Daphnia pulex: one gene and its partners. The protein of the gene in region 3 binds, or shares a complex with, the protein of the main gene of each other region. Links are inferred from orthologs where the notes say so. Each region holds a gene or a part of one and is shown on either strand. Other genes may lie near its edges.

What was found.
Region 1: eukaryotic translation initiation factor 3 subunit B-like (region 3) and eukaryotic translation initiation factor 3 subunit M-like share a complex: the UniProt entries of both Drosophila melanogaster proteins name them as parts of the eukaryotic translation initiation factor 3 (eIF-3) complex. The link is inferred for Daphnia pulex from reciprocal best matches to the Drosophila melanogaster genes eIF3b and eIF3m.
Region 2: eukaryotic translation initiation factor 3 subunit B-like (region 3) and eukaryotic translation initiation factor 3 subunit D-like share a complex: the UniProt entries of both Drosophila melanogaster proteins name them as parts of the eukaryotic translation initiation factor 3 (eIF-3) complex. The link is inferred for Daphnia pulex from reciprocal best matches to the Drosophila melanogaster genes eIF3b and eIF3d1.

The regions. Positions count from the first base shown.
Region 1 is NC_060019.1:9,159,597-9,163,345, reverse strand, and holds eukaryotic translation initiation factor 3 subunit M-like, read left to right. Parts: upstream 1-1,333; 5' UTR 1,334-1,472; coding exon 1,473-1,514; intron 1,515-1,750; coding exon 1,751-1,858; intron 1,859-1,917; coding exon 1,918-2,072; intron 2,073-2,134; coding exon 2,135-2,353; intron 2,354-2,414; coding exon 2,415-2,572; intron 2,573-2,627; coding exon 2,628-2,735; intron 2,736-2,794; coding exon 2,795-3,147; 3' UTR 3,148-3,249; downstream 3,250-3,749. Other genes in the region: cysteine--tRNA ligase, cytoplasmic-like, read right to left, coding at 29-761; DPH3 homolog, read left to right, coding at 3,502-3,609, 3,678-3,749. UniProt on the Drosophila melanogaster protein: Component of the eukaryotic translation initiation factor 3 (eIF-3) complex, which is involved in protein synthesis of a specialized repertoire of mRNAs and, together with other initiation factors, stimulates binding of mRNA and methionyl-tRNAi to the 40S ribosome.
Region 2 is NC_060023.1:3,616,111-3,620,388, reverse strand, and holds eukaryotic translation initiation factor 3 subunit D-like, read left to right. Parts: upstream 1-1,478; 5' UTR 1,479-1,624; coding exon 1,625-1,732; intron 1,733-1,792; coding exon 1,793-2,045; intron 2,046-2,102; coding exon 2,103-2,170; intron 2,171-2,229; coding exon 2,230-2,357; intron 2,358-2,428; coding exon 2,429-2,561; intron 2,562-2,625; coding exon 2,626-2,773; intron 2,774-2,834; coding exon 2,835-2,959; intron 2,960-3,023; coding exon 3,024-3,236; intron 3,237-3,295; coding exon 3,296-3,438; intron 3,439-3,497; coding exon 3,498-3,766; intron 3,767-4,088; exon of another isoform or gene 4,089-4,130; coding exon 4,131-4,141; 3' UTR 4,142-4,252; downstream 4,253-4,278. Other genes in the region: cytochrome b-c1 complex subunit 2, mitochondrial-like, read left to right, coding at 1-256, 324-763; L-allo-threonine aldolase-like, read right to left, coding at 4,254-4,278. UniProt on the Drosophila melanogaster protein: mRNA cap-binding component of the eukaryotic translation initiation factor 3 (eIF-3) complex, which is involved in protein synthesis of a specialized repertoire of mRNAs and, together with other initiation factors, stimulates binding of mRNA and methionyl-tRNAi to the 40S ribosome.
Region 3 is NC_060026.1:9,961,148-9,969,597, forward strand, and holds eukaryotic translation initiation factor 3 subunit B-like, read right to left. Parts: upstream 4,949-8,450; 5' UTR 4,824-4,948; coding exon 4,691-4,823; intron 4,613-4,690; coding exon 4,417-4,612; intron 4,352-4,416; coding exon 4,045-4,351; intron 3,964-4,044; coding exon 3,568-3,963; intron 3,501-3,567; coding exon 3,253-3,500; intron 3,192-3,252; coding exon 2,947-3,191; intron 2,886-2,946; coding exon 2,716-2,885; intron 2,655-2,715; coding exon 2,451-2,654; intron 2,377-2,450; coding exon 2,268-2,376; intron 2,204-2,267; coding exon 2,106-2,203; 3' UTR 1,842-2,105; downstream 1-1,841. Other genes in the region: DNA-dependent protein kinase catalytic subunit-like, read left to right, coding at 5,531-5,639, 5,709-5,887, 5,958-6,147, 6,267-6,379, 6,450-6,630, 6,706-6,920, 6,980-7,146, 7,211-7,362 and 5 more. UniProt on the Drosophila melanogaster protein: RNA-binding component of the eukaryotic translation initiation factor 3 (eIF-3) complex, which is involved in protein synthesis of a specialized repertoire of mRNAs and, together with other initiation factors, stimulates binding of mRNA and methionyl-tRNAi to the 40S ribosome.

The sequences.
Region 1 (3,749 bases), on a different chromosome or scaffold from region 3:
TAATAGAAAAAAAGAGATAAAAACTCACCTGAATATGCAAGTCCACGTTCAATGATTCGTGAGATGTAATCCACGATCTCCGGGACATATTCGCTAACACGCGTAATAACATCGGCTGGTAGAACATTGAGAGCGGCCATATCTTTGTAAAACTCTTCTTCCCAATGTCGCGGAAGAGACGCGAAAATTGCGTTATCTGAAACATCCATGCCGTGCTTCGAGTCGAGCCAATCGCTCAAGACGTCTTTGGCTTCAGCCAACAAAAAGCTCTTTGCTTCGGATAATCCTTGACCAAGCTTGATTGTTTCGGTGAATTTTTCAATCGCGGCAGTGACTTTGGCCAACATCTTCTCCTGCATAACTTTCTTGTCGGGATCGGTGGTTACTGCCATTTGCTTAGAAAGACGATCAACAGATTCCTTGACATCTGTTTGAAGAGTTTCAAGTTCACTCATCTCAGTTGCATACTTTTCATATAAATAATTTTGCCTTGCTCTTTTAATAATTTTGTCGTCAATATCAGTGATATTCATTACATAAGTAATGTCATATCCAAAGTAGTCTCTTAAGACCCTTCTCAGGATATCAAAAGACATGTATGAACGGGCATGTCCCATGTGGGATGCATCATAGACTGTTGGTCCGCAAGAATACCAGGTGATATTTTTCCCATTCTGAGGAGTAAACACCTCCTTCTTACGAGTCAGACTATTGTAAATCTTCAGCTCCATGCTGCTGTTGTTTAAGGGGGCTTCAGACATAATAGGTGAACAAGGTACAACCAATTTCTCAATGTGTTCCAAAAATTATTATTTATCCCTTCGAAACTTCTCACTCTGTAAGTAAAATCTAGTCATTAATATTTTGAAATGTCTGATGCAATAGTTAAAATGTCTTACTTACTTCTATCTTCTACCTAAATTGCCAACCACTCCAACTATTATATATTTTTGCGATTTGCACGTTAACAGATTTGTGAATGTCACCAGTTAACTTTAACGTTATAAGGAAGTTAACAATTAATAAATTTGAAAAATAAATGCTGGTTCGAATGATAACGATCAAATGAATCCGAAACCGGTGCGTACCTTTGACGGTGTATTCGGTTTGTTTCTTCCAACACCGCAACACGTCAAGTTAGATAGAAATTGCGAGTGAGCCGATAACAGCGATAACAAATGTGGTGATCTTTTATGCTGCAATTTTAAAAGGTAGTAATTTTTTTAATAATAATTTTAAAAAATCAAGAACTGGTTTTAGAAAATTTTGGAAAGCGTGAAAGTGTTGAAACAAAGAATTAAAAAAAAAAAAAAATCGTTGATTTATCTGTAGGGGAACACGGTGGCAATGTCGCCATTACAGACGAACTTCTGTACCGGGATCGTGAGCGTGGCCTATATCCGGATTTTTTTGACAAGCAACTTCTAATAAAGGAATCTTTTTTTCCAGTTTGTTTTGAACAATTTATCAGGATGAGTTTACCAGCATTTATCGATTTAACGGTCGAAGAACAGGTTAGTTTCCCCATAAATTTAGTCCGGTAGATGCTAAACTGTTGTGGCGATGAAGTGTGGAGTCTGCCAGTAGCGTACACCTTTCTGTGTTATAGACAATTTTCCCTACTAGTATTTCTAATTTTTATACCTGTTTTACCACCTGGAGAAAGCAAATAACTGTTATATAGTACTGAGACAAAATTTAAGACATCAAGGCTTTGAATTGGTCATTGTATTCATATCTGTCTTTTTAGGCTACTGAATTGTGTAGCTATTTCAAGGCTCTTGGAGCATCAAATGTGGATGATGATCAAAACTCAGATCTTAGCAACATTGTTGCTGTTGCAGATCTCTGTTTCAAAGTAAGTGACAATTTTATTTCAATTAGTAGTGTGTGTTTACACTATTTTCTTCTTTGAAGGAGGGCAATGAAGTGGAATCTGAGGGAGTCTTGAATAGCATTGTATCTATGCTCGTTCTTCTCCCCAATGAAAAAGCTGAACCAATAATTACTACGTTTTGCCAAAAGCTTGCAAAACCCCCCTCAAACAAGTTGGGACTTGTTTGTCTGAGAGTGTGAGCATTTGAAATTTGAAGTTTACATAATGAATTGTCTAACTATAATTTTGATTCTTTAGTCTGTCTGTACTATTTCATGGGCTTGATCCTGTGAGTACAACGCGTTACACGGTCTATCACACGCTAGTCCAAGTTGCTGGACAAGTGGAACAGATGAAGACAGTGTTCACGGATCTAGATAAAATGCGTACTCAACTAGGGCCATGCAAACCTAACAACGAGCAGATGCAAAAACTCCTCCGAAGTTTACATGAAGCTCTCCTCAACTCCAGAGAAAGGTAAAGTATTGAAGTTAAACAAATAATTGTAACAATAAATCAAACCAGTGTTATTATTCAGTGAACTGGCCTCCAAAGTGATGGTGGAGTTGTTGAGCACTTACACGACCGAAAATGCTTCACAGGCTCGTGAGGAAGCTCAACGCTGCATTGTTGCTTCATTGGCTGATCCCAACACTTTCCTTCTCGATCATTTATTGACTTTGCAACCTGTGAAAGGTTTATAAAAATTACTTTGAAGTTAAATCAGTTATTAATTAATTTTTGTGTACAGTTTTGGAAGGTGCCCTTTTGCACGATCTGTTGACCGTATTCGTGACGGAAAAGCTGTCAGCTTATTTGAAGTTTTATGAGGAAAAGAAAGATTTTGTTGAAGGACTAGGTATTTACTGGAAATTTTTAAGTATTTTTTTAAGAATTTTAAGTAACAATGATTTTTAGGTCTGAAACATGAGCAGAACCTTCGAAAAATGCGAATTTTGACTTTCATGCAGTTGGCTGAAAATTCCGTAGAGCTCCCTTTCGAAACGCTCGAGAAGCAATTACAACTAACCGAAGATCAAGTAGAGGAATTTGTCCTTCAAGTCCTTAAGACGAAATTGGTGCGCGCACGAATGGATCAGTTGAACAAGAAAGTGCTTGTTTCATCAACCATGCATCGGACATTCGGCAAGCAGCACTGGCAGCAGTTGCGTGAGTTGCTGACTACTTGGCGAGGCCACCTCAGACAGGTCAAAGATTCCATGCTAACCATCGTTAACGAGCAAGCCGAACTTCTCGCTCAGCAATCCTGAACCGATTAGAGAAGAAACAAAAGACTTCAAATTATCCCGCTATCCATCTCTATTAAGGTTTTGTGGAAATAAACGATGACGCCGGCACATTATCTGACAAAATCAGACTTTGATCATTATTTCTGTTTTGTTTCCAACATACTGTTGTTTGAAAGTAGGGTAGGAGATAAAAAAAAAATTCTTTTTTTATTATGCTTATTATATGCAACGTGTAAACGTGAGTTAATTCAGGTAGTCTGATTTTTGGCCGGCAGATGTCTCTTTTTCTCACGTGTTGTCTTTTGAAGATCCACACATTTTTGTTTCAGTAGTTGAGAAAAATCTTTTATTTATTACTCAGAATTTTTGGTGAAAATGTCTGTCTATCACGATGAAGTTGAAATCGAAGATTTTGAATATGATTCGGACAGTGAAATTTACTTCTATCCTTGCCCTTGTGGAGATCGGTTTGAAATCACCAAAGTAATGTGACGTCCCCATTCCTTACTCAGATTCCAAGCTTATTAAAAGGTTTACTTTTATTTCAACAGGAACAGCTAGAAAATGGGGAAGAGGAAGCCACATGTCCGAGTTGTTCACTTATAGTAAAAGTAATATACAAC
Region 2 (4,278 bases), on a different chromosome or scaffold from region 3:
GCCAATTTGCGTGCAGACAATGCTGCAGTTGTTGGAGTTGGTATTCCTCACGATCGCTTGGTCGCATACGCCCAAAGTTTGGCTCTTAAAGCTGGTCAGTCTTGCTCGGGGGCTCCTTCGAAAGTACACGGAGGAGAAGTACGTGTGGATACGAGCAGTTCTTTAGCATATGTGGCTGTAGCTGCTCCCGGAGCTTCTCTGGCTGACACGAAAGCCATGGTTGCATTTGCTCTTCTTCAGAGAGCATTGGGTGCAGGTAATCATATTCCCCTTCTTCCCACAATTAAAAAGTCTATCAAAATAACTCCTTTGTTACTGTCTAGGAATCCCAGTTAAATATGGTTCTGGAGCAGGATCAAAACTAAACCAAGCAGTGTTGGGTGCTGGTGCAGTTTCTTCCTTGAATTTGAACTACTCCGATGCTGGTCTATTTGGGTTCGTGGCCGCTGCCCCAGCCTCAGATGCCGGCAAAGTTGTTTCCGCCGCTACAAAAGTTTTGCGATCAGCTTCAGTCAACGAAAGCCAATTGAGCCGTGCAAAAGCCCAACTTAAAGCCGACTTGTTGATGGCCAAAGAGAACACTGGTGTGTTAGTTGAAGAGTTGGCTCTGCAAGCGCTTCTCAACCGGGCTGATCTTCTTTCTACTGTCGATAATGTTTCAATTGCTGACGTCAACGCTGTAGCTTCCCGGTTGGCTTCTGCCAAGCTAACTGTCGCTGCCATTGGAAACCTGAGCAACGTCCCGTTTGTCGATGAATTATAAAATTTTGAATAGGTCTCTGAATTATAATGTAGTCTATATCTATATTTGCACAGTGGCCCATTAGAAAATATCCAGATCGAACGGTTAATCATTCTTAAGAGCTGAAAGAATACACGTGCCCTGTACAGAATATCCACAGTTTCTCTAATCACTCTAATACTGAAAAATCTTACCTCACAATTCCTCTTTATGTTCCTCTTTCGCAAAATTAAGATTGATACGTCATTCATTTAAAAAACGAAGATACATGGAGGAGAAAGTAATGATTCTCTACTCTCGAAAGAAAATTTGTGCTATCTTCGAAAAGACAACAATAATATGTAATTAAAAAACATTTCTCTCTAGTGGGCTTACTTATATTTTAATGAAGTGTGGGGTTTCCGTGATCTTACGTTCAATCTGGTGTAACTTTCTAAAGTAATGTAACATATTTCTTCATCTGAGTCTGAGCTTGACTCTGGAGGGATTTTATAAAAAACACCATATTCCAGATCAGAATACATTTAGTCATTTAGTATTCTGGCCATTTTTTTATTATATTTTTTGTATTTTTTAGCTGATTTAAGATTTTCATACTTCAGTATCTTATTATAATTGCGTCTAAATTAAAAATTTGTGATTGAAATTAAAGATATGCTAATTCGGAATTATTAGGAAAACAGTGGAAAAAAGTAAAGCGGCAGAAAGGTATAAACATCATTTTCAACAATGGCAACAGTGGTATACGTAGCATCCGGTACTAAAATGGCGATTACCATGTTCTAACTTGTAGCAAGCTGTCAGCCAGCCGGTCTAGTGAGAAAGTGCCTACGACTAAATTCTGAAAAGTTATTTTCATAAGGTCACGTTAAATTGTATAACATGGCGGCGCATTTTGTTCCACCAGCGACTCAAGACAATAATGACGGATGGGGACCTTTAGGTATTCCCGACCGCTACAAAGATATGCCATATCAACCATTCTCGAAGGTAACGTTTCATTGCCGAATTTTGTATTAACTTCTTCTGATGTTTTGTTTAATTTATTAGATGTCGGAATGGGCTGGTGGAAGCAGCATCAATTATTCCTTTACAGACCGCAAGTATGGTGGTGGAAAATACTCTGGAGGGGCTGGTGGAAGCCAGTATGCTTATCTGCATGATGAGGAAGAGAACAGCTTTCAGCTTGTGGATACTGCAAGGACTCCAAGACCAATGTATGCTAGAGGAAGATTCCTTCGCAACCAACGGCTTGCAAGAGGCAGACAAAACTTTAGGAATTCTCAGCCTGTGCCACTTAAAGGTAAAGTGTTCAAATAGCAATTAATAGCAACAGATTGTTTATACATTTTCTTTGAAGGTGGCAAGATGAAGGATAACCGAATGAGACAGACTAGGAACAAGTGGAATAATAGAGGACCTCGTCAAGTAAAGCTTCTCACCTTACCGATTATTCAGTCTCATACTCATTTTTTAAAAACTTGTAGGGCCAAATTCAGGTTAAAAACCGTGAATCATCAGTTATTGTTCAGCCTTCATGGAAAATCATTGAAGAGATGGATTTCCCCAGGCTCAACAAACTTTCTCTGCGTCTTAGCAAGGAAGCTTCTGATTTGTAATCAACTATTTAAACTAAAACCTTTCACATGCTGATTTTAAAATAATGATATTATTTTATTTTTCCAGACTTACTTGTGGTGAACTCGAGTTTTATGATAAGCAGTACGACCGCGTAACTGTGAAAAATGAACGAAGACTGCAAAGAATTGATCGTATTTTTCACAAGGTCACCACAACTGATGACCCCATTATCCGCAAAGTAAGAAACAGTAGTCACATTCAAGTCTTACGCGTGGTAGTATGCTAATTCTCAAATTCATTAGTTGGCAAAAACTGAGGGTAATGTCTACGCAACTGATTCCATCTTGGCTACTTTGATGTGCAGTATTCGCTCCAACTATAGTTGGGACATAATCGTCCAGAAAGTTGGTGGCAAACTGTTTTTTGATAAACGTGATGATTCGGAATTTGGTACGTACCTTTTGGCCACTGAGGGAGTTTGCAATGATCTATAATCTTCCCTTTTCCCTAGATCTGCTAACTGTATCCGAAACATCCAATGAACCTCCTCAAGAAGAGGGCATCAATAGCCCACGTAATTTGGCACTAGAAGCGACCTTTATTAATCATAATTTATCCCAACAAGTCCTGAAGATGGTATTTATAATAGGTTTTATAAAATGGCATAAATCCCTAATTTTGTCGTTTCATAATCTTGTAGGGAGAAGAAAAATTCAAATTGGATGAGCCTAATCCCTTCATTTCGGAAGATGAAGTAGGTGAAGTTGCCTCGGTGGCTTACCGTTACCGTAAATGGGATTTAGATGGGGGTGTTGTTCTGGTGGCACGTTGCGAACATGACGCTGTCACCGTTGGATCGGCTGGTGATAACCAATTTATCAACATCAAAGCTCTTAATGAATGGGACTCAAGGGTATGCATATTCACTGTTCGTAATGAAACTGTGTCTTTAAAATGATTTTGTACTTCAAGTTGTCTGGTGGAGTCGAATGGCGCCAGAAACTGGACACTCAGCGAGGTGCTGTTCTGGCCAACGAGCTGAAGAATAATGCATGCAAGCTAGCAAAATGGACTGTGCAAGCTCTGCTCGCCAACTCTGATTGGATTAAATTCGGGTATGTGAAGACTCCTGTTGTCCCTCGAATATTATTGTAACTAATATTGTTTACTTCAGATATGTTTCCCGTATGCACTTACGAGATACATCGCGTCATGTAATCCTTGGAACACAGCAGTTCCGCCCGTCAGATTTCGCATCGCAAATCAACCTTAACATGGACAATGCTTGGGGCATTCTCCGTTGTATTATTGATTTGTGTATGAAGGAAGAGGATGGCAAATATTTGTTGGTGAAGGATCCTAACAAGCCCGTCATCCGCCTTTACAAGGTGCCCGATAACACGTTTGAGAGCGACGATGAAGCATTTTTCGAAGAAGGCGAAGGTTTGTAACCAATCAATATCGTAACGTGCGTGTGTAACTGCTGGCTTGCTTTTTTTGCTTGGGTGTTGGCCTCCCTTTTTTTTTTACTAGCAAAGATTAAATAAACACGTCCAAGCAGTTAATCAAATTTCCCTGCATTTGTACGCCGTGTTACGTTTTGCTTGAATTCGTAGCTCGAGCTTTGTATATATGTATAATATCTAACCACTAGTGGAAGTGCTTGGCTTCTTGGGGGAAAAAAACCTAATTAGATACGCGACATGACTTAAGGTAGCTTTAAAAAAGGCGCTATTAAACGCATGATTTCATAACGTCAACCACGAAATGGTAAATAATAATGTATTTATTTTTTACACATGAATAGAAGACGAGTAACGGCTGATACAAACAAAAGAACAGCTCTTCCACCAATTCCCCAATCTACAACAGTACTACGTTTGTAATGATCGTTACATGGAATAAAGCACTTATGAAGCTTCCAGTTTACTTATACAGCTTTACTTTGTTTGATT
Region 3 (8,450 bases):
AACTCAGGGTGTATTTCTTGATAACCATTCCAACTTCTTGCTCTATTTGCTCAGGTTTCAGTATATTGAACTTTGTTTATGATTATCTCCGCGGCGTTGGAACCCAAAGCAACCCATCATCAAAGGACAAGGCGCTTCCATATTCCGCTCTTAAAGGATCTTTGATTGACGCCGCACCATGTGCCAATTCTTTCCCCTCTTATATCAATTATTTTTTCATTGTCAGTTCATTCATGTGATGACAAAGCACCGAGTGAAACTGAACACGAAGATACCAAGTATTTTTCGCACTCACAATTCAGTTAAAATGTCTTTTGATATTCTCACTATAATAAAGTAAAATGCATCTGCATGTTAACTTAGTTTTGTATCGTTTTGTTTCAAGATATGAAAGACGTGTTTAGCTGTTAGTTTATTGTAATAAGAGACACGGGCATTGCATGGTTTATAGCGTGAAATCAGCTGAATCACACGTTACGTGTCAATCAGCAGAAATAGTGAGTTGCTGGTCAATGCGTTTAAAGGTCACAAAGAACCCCTCGAAGCCCCGTTCTGAGAACTCCGGCTCGACCTTCAGGCAAGTAAGGGGGCGACAGAGAGTGACTCACTATGTCGTGTGTTAATTGCGTGTTTAAAAACCTAAATTTATACTTTGAATATAATGGCCTCTGTGTAATAGAGCTGAATCACACGTTACGTGTGAATCAATCAGCAGAAATAGTTAGTTGCTGGTCAATTCGTTTAAAGGTCACAAAGAACCCCTCGAAGCCCCGTTCTGAGAACTCCGGCTCGACCTTCGGGCAAGTAAGGGGGTGACAGAGGGTGACTCACTATGTCGTGCGTTTATAGCGTGTTTAACAACCTGTTTAAATCCTTACTTTGAATATAATGATATAATATAAATAATAACACTGAGCATATAGAGCAAGACATTGAAATGGTTAACAAGAAATATCACCCTGAATTGAAATGTTTATAAATTCTACTTTATTCCTGCTGCAAGACACTTAACTATATTAACAATTTGAATTTTAAGCTGATTCAATGTTGGACATTGTACTCTAGCTAAGTTAACGATAACGAAATAAAAGTTCCTTCTATACACTGACTATTTTTATTTATTAGTGAGATTCAAATATATTTGATTGTTATAAATACATTTTATTTGAATTTCCAAATAATTCAAATCTAAACCATTCAAATTTCAAAACACAGAAACAGAATGCCATCGGTCGCCAAATGAAAGTACTACATATTTCCTTTCCGGAGTGCAATAGCCACTTTTGACGCTAGAGGACTCCGGACTCCGGAGTGCAATAGCCACTTTTGACACTAGAGCGCTCCGGACTCCGGAGTGCAATAGATTTTACCATTACCATGTCTGACAAAACTGATCGAAATGAAAACTTCGCCTTCTTCTTCACACCACTTCACACCCAACTTCGTGTCATAATGTGAGACAACGTTGCCGCACGCACCAGAAAAAAATGTAGTAGTAAAAATAATATTTTTGTTTTTCCAATTTTCCAATCCATTCCAGTTTCCAACATTCTATAAATCCGTCATTTCCTTCAGACTTCAATTCCATTTCCCACTATAACCCATAAATTCCGAAATGCTAACTAATTCAAGCCATGGAAAATTTAAGTACTTCCAGTCTTTCATTACTCTGCTGTCAAAATGATCGAACTCCATGTTTCGATTACAGTACCCTCGGGCACTATAAGAAAGAGTATATCTCTGTTAAGAGTTTAAGACTAACATTATAGAAAAATTTGCAGACTTATTGATCAACGAATGTTAACGGTAAATTTTTCCCAAACAGAAACATGTACAATATATTCCTTTTTACTTCTCGTTCAACTTCAGTTGCGACGAGGCAATCAAAATGTATTTTTGATAATCTAAAGGGTACATGATAGTTGAAACCAAAGAGAGACGCAAACAGCCATAACCAATCGATGAGACACACAATTATATTTGTCTTCATTTTCTGATGTTGGATTTGTCGGATATTAATATCTGACAAAAACCTCGAGATGTGCTGCCTTTCACTGAATAAGCAGCACGCCTCAAGATGTGGTGATTGTTTACAGTCTTGGCAATTACTCGTCGATGAATGTCGTCTCCTCTTTAATGAAAAACTCGACTGTCTCCTCTTCTAATTCCCCTCCACGGCCTTCAGTTTCATCCGTATCCACGTCTGTGAATTCATTTGTGAGTTAAATCCTGATAAGCTTACTTATTAACTAGGTTTAAGAACTTACTGTTGCGCAATTCGATACGACGGCGACGTTGAGCGTCATAGTCCTCTTGCTTCTGCTTACGCAAGTCTTCATATTCTTGCATCAGTTTGCGGCGTTTTTCTACCAATTCCTGGGTGAAGTTTGAAAATGTCAGATTTTTAGAAAATACTTTCGCCAAAAATTACACATTCAAAAAATATTTACTTTGGAAGCTTTAGTCATTTTCAATCGATCCTTCACTTCGAATTGGGCACTAAATTTCTTCAAAGACTTCTTAATGTCCTTTATTTGTTGGGCTGGAAGTAATGAAGGTGGTCGAGGTCTCCATTGCAGCTGACAGAATTTGTCTAGTGCTACGCGTTTGAGAATGCGTCCTTGGAAGGACCACAACCAGTAGGCATTATCGACCTGTCAAAGTACAAGAGATCAAACATTGTCAAAAATGAATACATTGCTTGATTTTTGTTACCTTGTGACCCCACCAGGAAACAGCAGTTGCGACATACCGACCGGTTGGATCCCACTCCACATCAGTAGCCATGAAGTGTTCGCCCGTATTCATGACGGTAAAATCATGGGTGTCGACAAATTCCAATGTGCCAGACATGGCACGTAGGCCGGCTAACACAATGAACTGGCCTGTTCGATAAAGTATAGTAAGGATTTTAGAATTTTAACATTAAATTTAATGTTTTCTTACCAGAAGGGGCCCAGTACAACTGGTTGCAAGGTTTACGTTCGTATTTTTTAACCATCGTAGGCGTTTGTCCAGTTTTAACTTCGAAGAAAGAAACAGAAGTACTCGGTGGCTCACCGTGGATGACGGCAAACTTAGTACCAACTGGCTCCCACGCAAAAGCTTGAATGGTTTCCTTGATTTCTACCGAGTCGACTGGAATTTGTTTTTCTCGCATGTGGAAAACTTCCAAATTGTAGTAGATACCGCTATCAAAGGGGGGAAAATTAGCTTTTATATCTATTAATTGAAGGAGTGGCATCTCATTACCTGTATTTGATATCGGACTTATCTTTCCTTAATTTGGCATAGCGGTCGACTTTCACACACAAATAGTCACCTGATTTTTGCCAATACATTTTACAGTCGGCAACGCTAAACAAATTTTTGACTCGCACTTCATTGCGACTTGGCAACTCAAGAAGTGTGACGCGAGCAGGAGTATCTTTCTCCTCTCCGACCCAATAAGCAATCGTATTGTCTGTTGGGCTCCAGGCAAAATCTCGAATTCCTTGAACCTATCAAAATGTAAGAGTGCATGTTAGGAAATGGTTATTAGAAGATTTTGTAAATCGTGTACGTTACTTTGATCGACTTCTTGTCTAAAAGGCCAAATGATGGGGTTTCATAAACAGAAAGCATGTCGATTCCCATCCTAGCGAAATACTTGTCATCATGCGACCACTTAAAAATGGGCAGGGCTTGAGATTTATCGGCATTAAAAGCTCGTCGCTTAAGACCGCTCAACACGTCCCAAATGATGATGGCTTGTGGTTCATCAGTTGCTCTTGAATCAGCCAGTGGACTAAAAGATACTAAATACTTCTCACATGGTGAGAAGTCAATGAATTGCACTCCTGGATGACTGAAGCGCACAATTTGTTGAAACTTTTCACCACCCCAAAGAGCTATACCCTTTGCATGGAAAGTGGCTAGATAGGTGCCAAGAGGTGACCACCGCACTAGAGTCTCAGTCCATCTCTGTGAAGATAATTATTGGTCAGATAAAATTTTAATATGAAAAAAAAAAATAATAATAATAATAAAGGTGAAGTGACTCACAGGTCTTTCTTCCAGCAGAGAGGGTTCAGGTTGAGTGTTCAAATAAACAGCAACTTTGTCTCCCTGCTCATACACAACTGAGAATTGGTCACAAGCGTCTTGATCAAGAAGATAGTATTGAAGGCATCCTTGCTCCTTAAACGGCTGAGGAATTGGATTTTCCCACTTATCAAGAATGTCATTATATTTTTCGAAGTCAGTAAGTAAGTTCACAGTGAAGGTGTGATTTTTGTCGAACTTGTAACCATTAGTTCCTTTAAGAACTTCCAATGCTTCATTGGCATTTGAGTACTCTATGAAAACATGGCTTCAAAAGTATATTATGTTAAAATTGGGCTGACACAAAAGTTAAAAAAAAAACTAATAAATTACCCTTTAGTTGATCCATCAGCATTAAGAGGATAATATTCATTAGTTATTTTTCCAAACTTTTGGAATAGTTTTCTCAGGACATTTTGAAGTTTTTCTATCCTCTCAGTACCAACCTGAGGAACACCGTCAATAACAACAATTGATTCGACTCCGTCGGTTTCTTTCGGACGCTGCCTGATGAGGTCACCTATAAGATCTACATTGACAGTTAGCAAGATTCAATGCCGGCATGCTCAGGAAAGCCATATGGCAAAAGGTAAGTTACAAACGGTACCTTCTTCAGAAATATCGTCCTCATAACCTTCCGGATCATCGAAGTTGGGCTCGTCTTCTAATTCATCGTTTGGGTTAGAATCCGAGTCATCGTTATTTTGCTGAGCTCGATCATTTTCTTTTCGTCGAGCCATGATGAAAAACAAGCACTGCACACCGGACACGAGTCTTTAATGGCGGAAGCCTGTGCCAGATTTCAACAAATAATACTACCATCGAGAAGGCCAAGGCAACCACCATCCACCAATCAGGCAATCACCATTCACCAAACACCATAGGTAACTTGGTGACTAGCCTAGCCTGTCAGCTAGAACGGGATCTTCTGAAGGGAAAATAATTTAGATTTTTTATTATTATTATTTTTTCTTGATTTTTATTCGCATTATAATCATACATTGGATTTTTTTTTGTTTTCAGAAAATAGCCTACATTTATTCATTTCCAAAAAAGTTGAATCCTTATACCCATTTGAGGAATGAGTTGGTAATAATTTTTTTAAATATTTTTAAAGTAACGTAATGATATTTTAAAACCATGATAGCGAATATTTTACAAATATGTATTACGCCTAACTATCAGTCATGGCAAATATGCCTACGCAAAAGCACAATTCTAGCAGCCGAATCATCATAACCCGGGAGGGATGAAAACATCACTTAGGCCTATAACCTACGTGAGTTAACGTTGATCGCAAAATTTTGAAGAACCACTACAATTGAAAACTTGTCTTAACATTTAAATATGTATGATTAAAGTTTTAAAGTCGTAAAAATTGCGAATAATCGAGAAGAAGTTGGCCTTTTAAAAGTGTCCGGTTGTCGGTAACATCGAGGAATATAAAATGGACAGCGTATTGGAAGGTTATCTATTTCAGATGCATTCTGGAACGTGCAGCGATATGCTGGAGCAAATCAAGGATATTAAAGATGTTGTATCCAAAACCAAAGACAGTAGGTTTCAAATATTGGTCCCATCAAAAACATGTTAATCAATTCATTTACATTGTATTTTTTCTAAAGATTCTGTTGTCTCGGCTTTACTAAACAAAGAAATTGGATTAATTTCCTTGTTGTCCAAGTTCAGAGATTCTCAAAAGGATGACAACTTTGCAGAAATAATAAATTGTGCCCTGTCAATTTTGGGTGATTTACTGGAAAAATTTGGAGAATCCATGAGCAACCATTTAGTGGTTATTAAAGTATGGAAAATAATTAATATTACCTAGCTATGTGTAAAAACCTAATAGTATAACTTTCATTTACCTTAAGAATTTAGCATTGATGTACATGAACTCCAAAAATTCTAAGATACGAGGAGCTTGTTATTTTGTTCTTTGCCAAGTTGTTATTACTGCTCAAACTTCACCAACAGAAATATTAGAAGAACTGAATTTGCCAGCCCTTTCTAATATGCTTTTTGAAAAAATGGCTACATCTTCTGATGATAGTTCAAGCAAAGGTGATTAATTAAAAAGACTATTGTATAATTACCCTGTTTGTTATGCAGATTGTATTATTACTGTGTATGCATAGATATGTATTTCTATGGTTATTTATAATATTTATGTTTTACTTTAGCGAAAATGAATTTCCTAGTACTCCTAGGCAGACTGGCCCAGTACTTTCCTAGTACACTGAAGGAAAAGGCCAGTCGCATCATTAACCAACTCCTTTATGAACTTGAAAAGGAGGTAACTAAACATTAACGTAAATAATTACGTTCTGTAAAATCAAATAATTTTTCTTTTTCTTTCTTTAAAGGTGAAAAGGCAGCATGATTTCAAAGATAAACGTGTAGCAGGCTGTATTGAAGCTCTTACAGGATTTCTCCATTCATTTAATTCAATCGTTGACCAAAAATGTAGGGAAAAAATTCATAGTTACTTATTGATGCTTCTCACGAAATTTTTACTGGTCGATAAGAGAGTTCATACCAAAAAAGGTGGTTATATTAACATTTGGTTTTTCATTATTTTGCCTGAACTATTTATTTTTTGTTTTTGTTTTTTATGCACAGCCGCATTGAACATGCTGGAAGAACACGCATCTCTCTTCAATAACTTGCTGCTAAAGCAATACAAATCCTGGTTCGATAACTTGAAATCTTATGCTTTGCGCGAAAAAACAGATATTCTTGAAAGTGGTCTGAAAGCACTTGGGAAGTTTATTGACGAAAGCGTAAAAATTTTGAAGATTGAATCAGATGCTACACACAAATCATCAATACTCGAGGTTTTCATTTTCATGTGTATTAATGTATATTTTCTTCTGTTTAAAATTTATCTTCTTAGTTTTTCATGAAGAATGTGATAGAGATTTTGGAATCTGATCAGGCTTCCCTCCAGCTCAAATGTGTTGGCCTTAAAGCCTTGGGCGAGTGTAGCTTCTTGGTTTCTGGAAAGAATGTATCACACATTTTTGAGTATCTACTCAATAAGACATCGTTTATTTGTATCCAGTATGCAGGCCTTTTGATCAATTAAAATTCCATCTTAAAACTAACAATTTAATAAATTCTGCAGGGAGGATACTTCAAAGAGCTTGGATCTTTTTCCTATTTGCCTTGAATCCCTTGGACTTGTTCTCATGCGCTATGCTACCCCCGTAGGAATTGAAAGAACACAGCAGCTACAGAAAATGTTTGTCCATCTTTTCTCGCGCTATTTGGATATAGGTACTAAATTGAAATATTCCTTTTTTCTAACATATTTAATCAACACGTTTAAATCGAACAACAACTGACTCCTGAAGCTGAACGAAATAGATGTGGTCGATCAGTTGCCGTGTTTTTAGTTGGTGTTCATGCTGCTGTACAGAACCCTATTAATTTTTCTGCTTTTGTGAGGGAAGTTGGTATGTTATTAAATACTAATAGGCTACTGTTATATATATTTGTATGTATCTTTTTTTTTTGTTCTAGTGATTCAAAGTTTAATTCGTTCTACCCGACCAGAACTTGATTCTGACAGTATAAAGAAGTATGCCTCTCTTTGGATTACAATTATGAATTTCTCGTGCCAGACGGATCTTCCATTTAGTCTGGAGGACCGTGTTCGAGTTTCTGAAGTACTAGATGGGCAGTTGGTTACTGCCATTTCCACAATAATCAGCCGTCTAAATTTCTCAGTAAATGAGATGGAAGATTCAACGGTAGACGGAGAAAAAAGTATTTGTTACTACGTTTACGTTCATTCATTACAATTAAAGTTTTATTTCTTGATTAAAGCTGAAAGTAGTCCACGAAATCCTGCAGATTGGCAACTATTCCACAACCTTGCTGATTTACTCGAGGATTTATTGAAGATTATTGAACCAAGGAAAAGATTGCAAGATTTGGTAAGTGCTAGTGAAATCAATTATTATTTTTCATCTTACTTTATTAATTATTATTATTTATTGTTGTGTTTTTTTTATTAATTTTATTAGCTTATTCCATTCGGCAGAGAAGTTGTTGAATTGTCAACGAAATTTCCATTAGTTCCGGGACTGTACCGTGTTTTGGCATTGGTGTTGTCTATTATAGGGCAAGATTTACCCGTTATTCATCACCCCACCTATGAATTGTACATGTCTAGCCTAATTAATCGTCTAGCGCAACTTTCAGATGATGTCCTTGTCTCTGCCGTTCAGGTAAAAGCTAAATTTTTATTTTTGATTGTTTTCTTTCATTTATTTGAAAAATTGTTGTAGGCTGTTTTATCAAGTCCTGCGTGGTTGGTGACCTCGCTCAGTAGTTCAGTCACCGGTGCTTTAGCTTCAGCC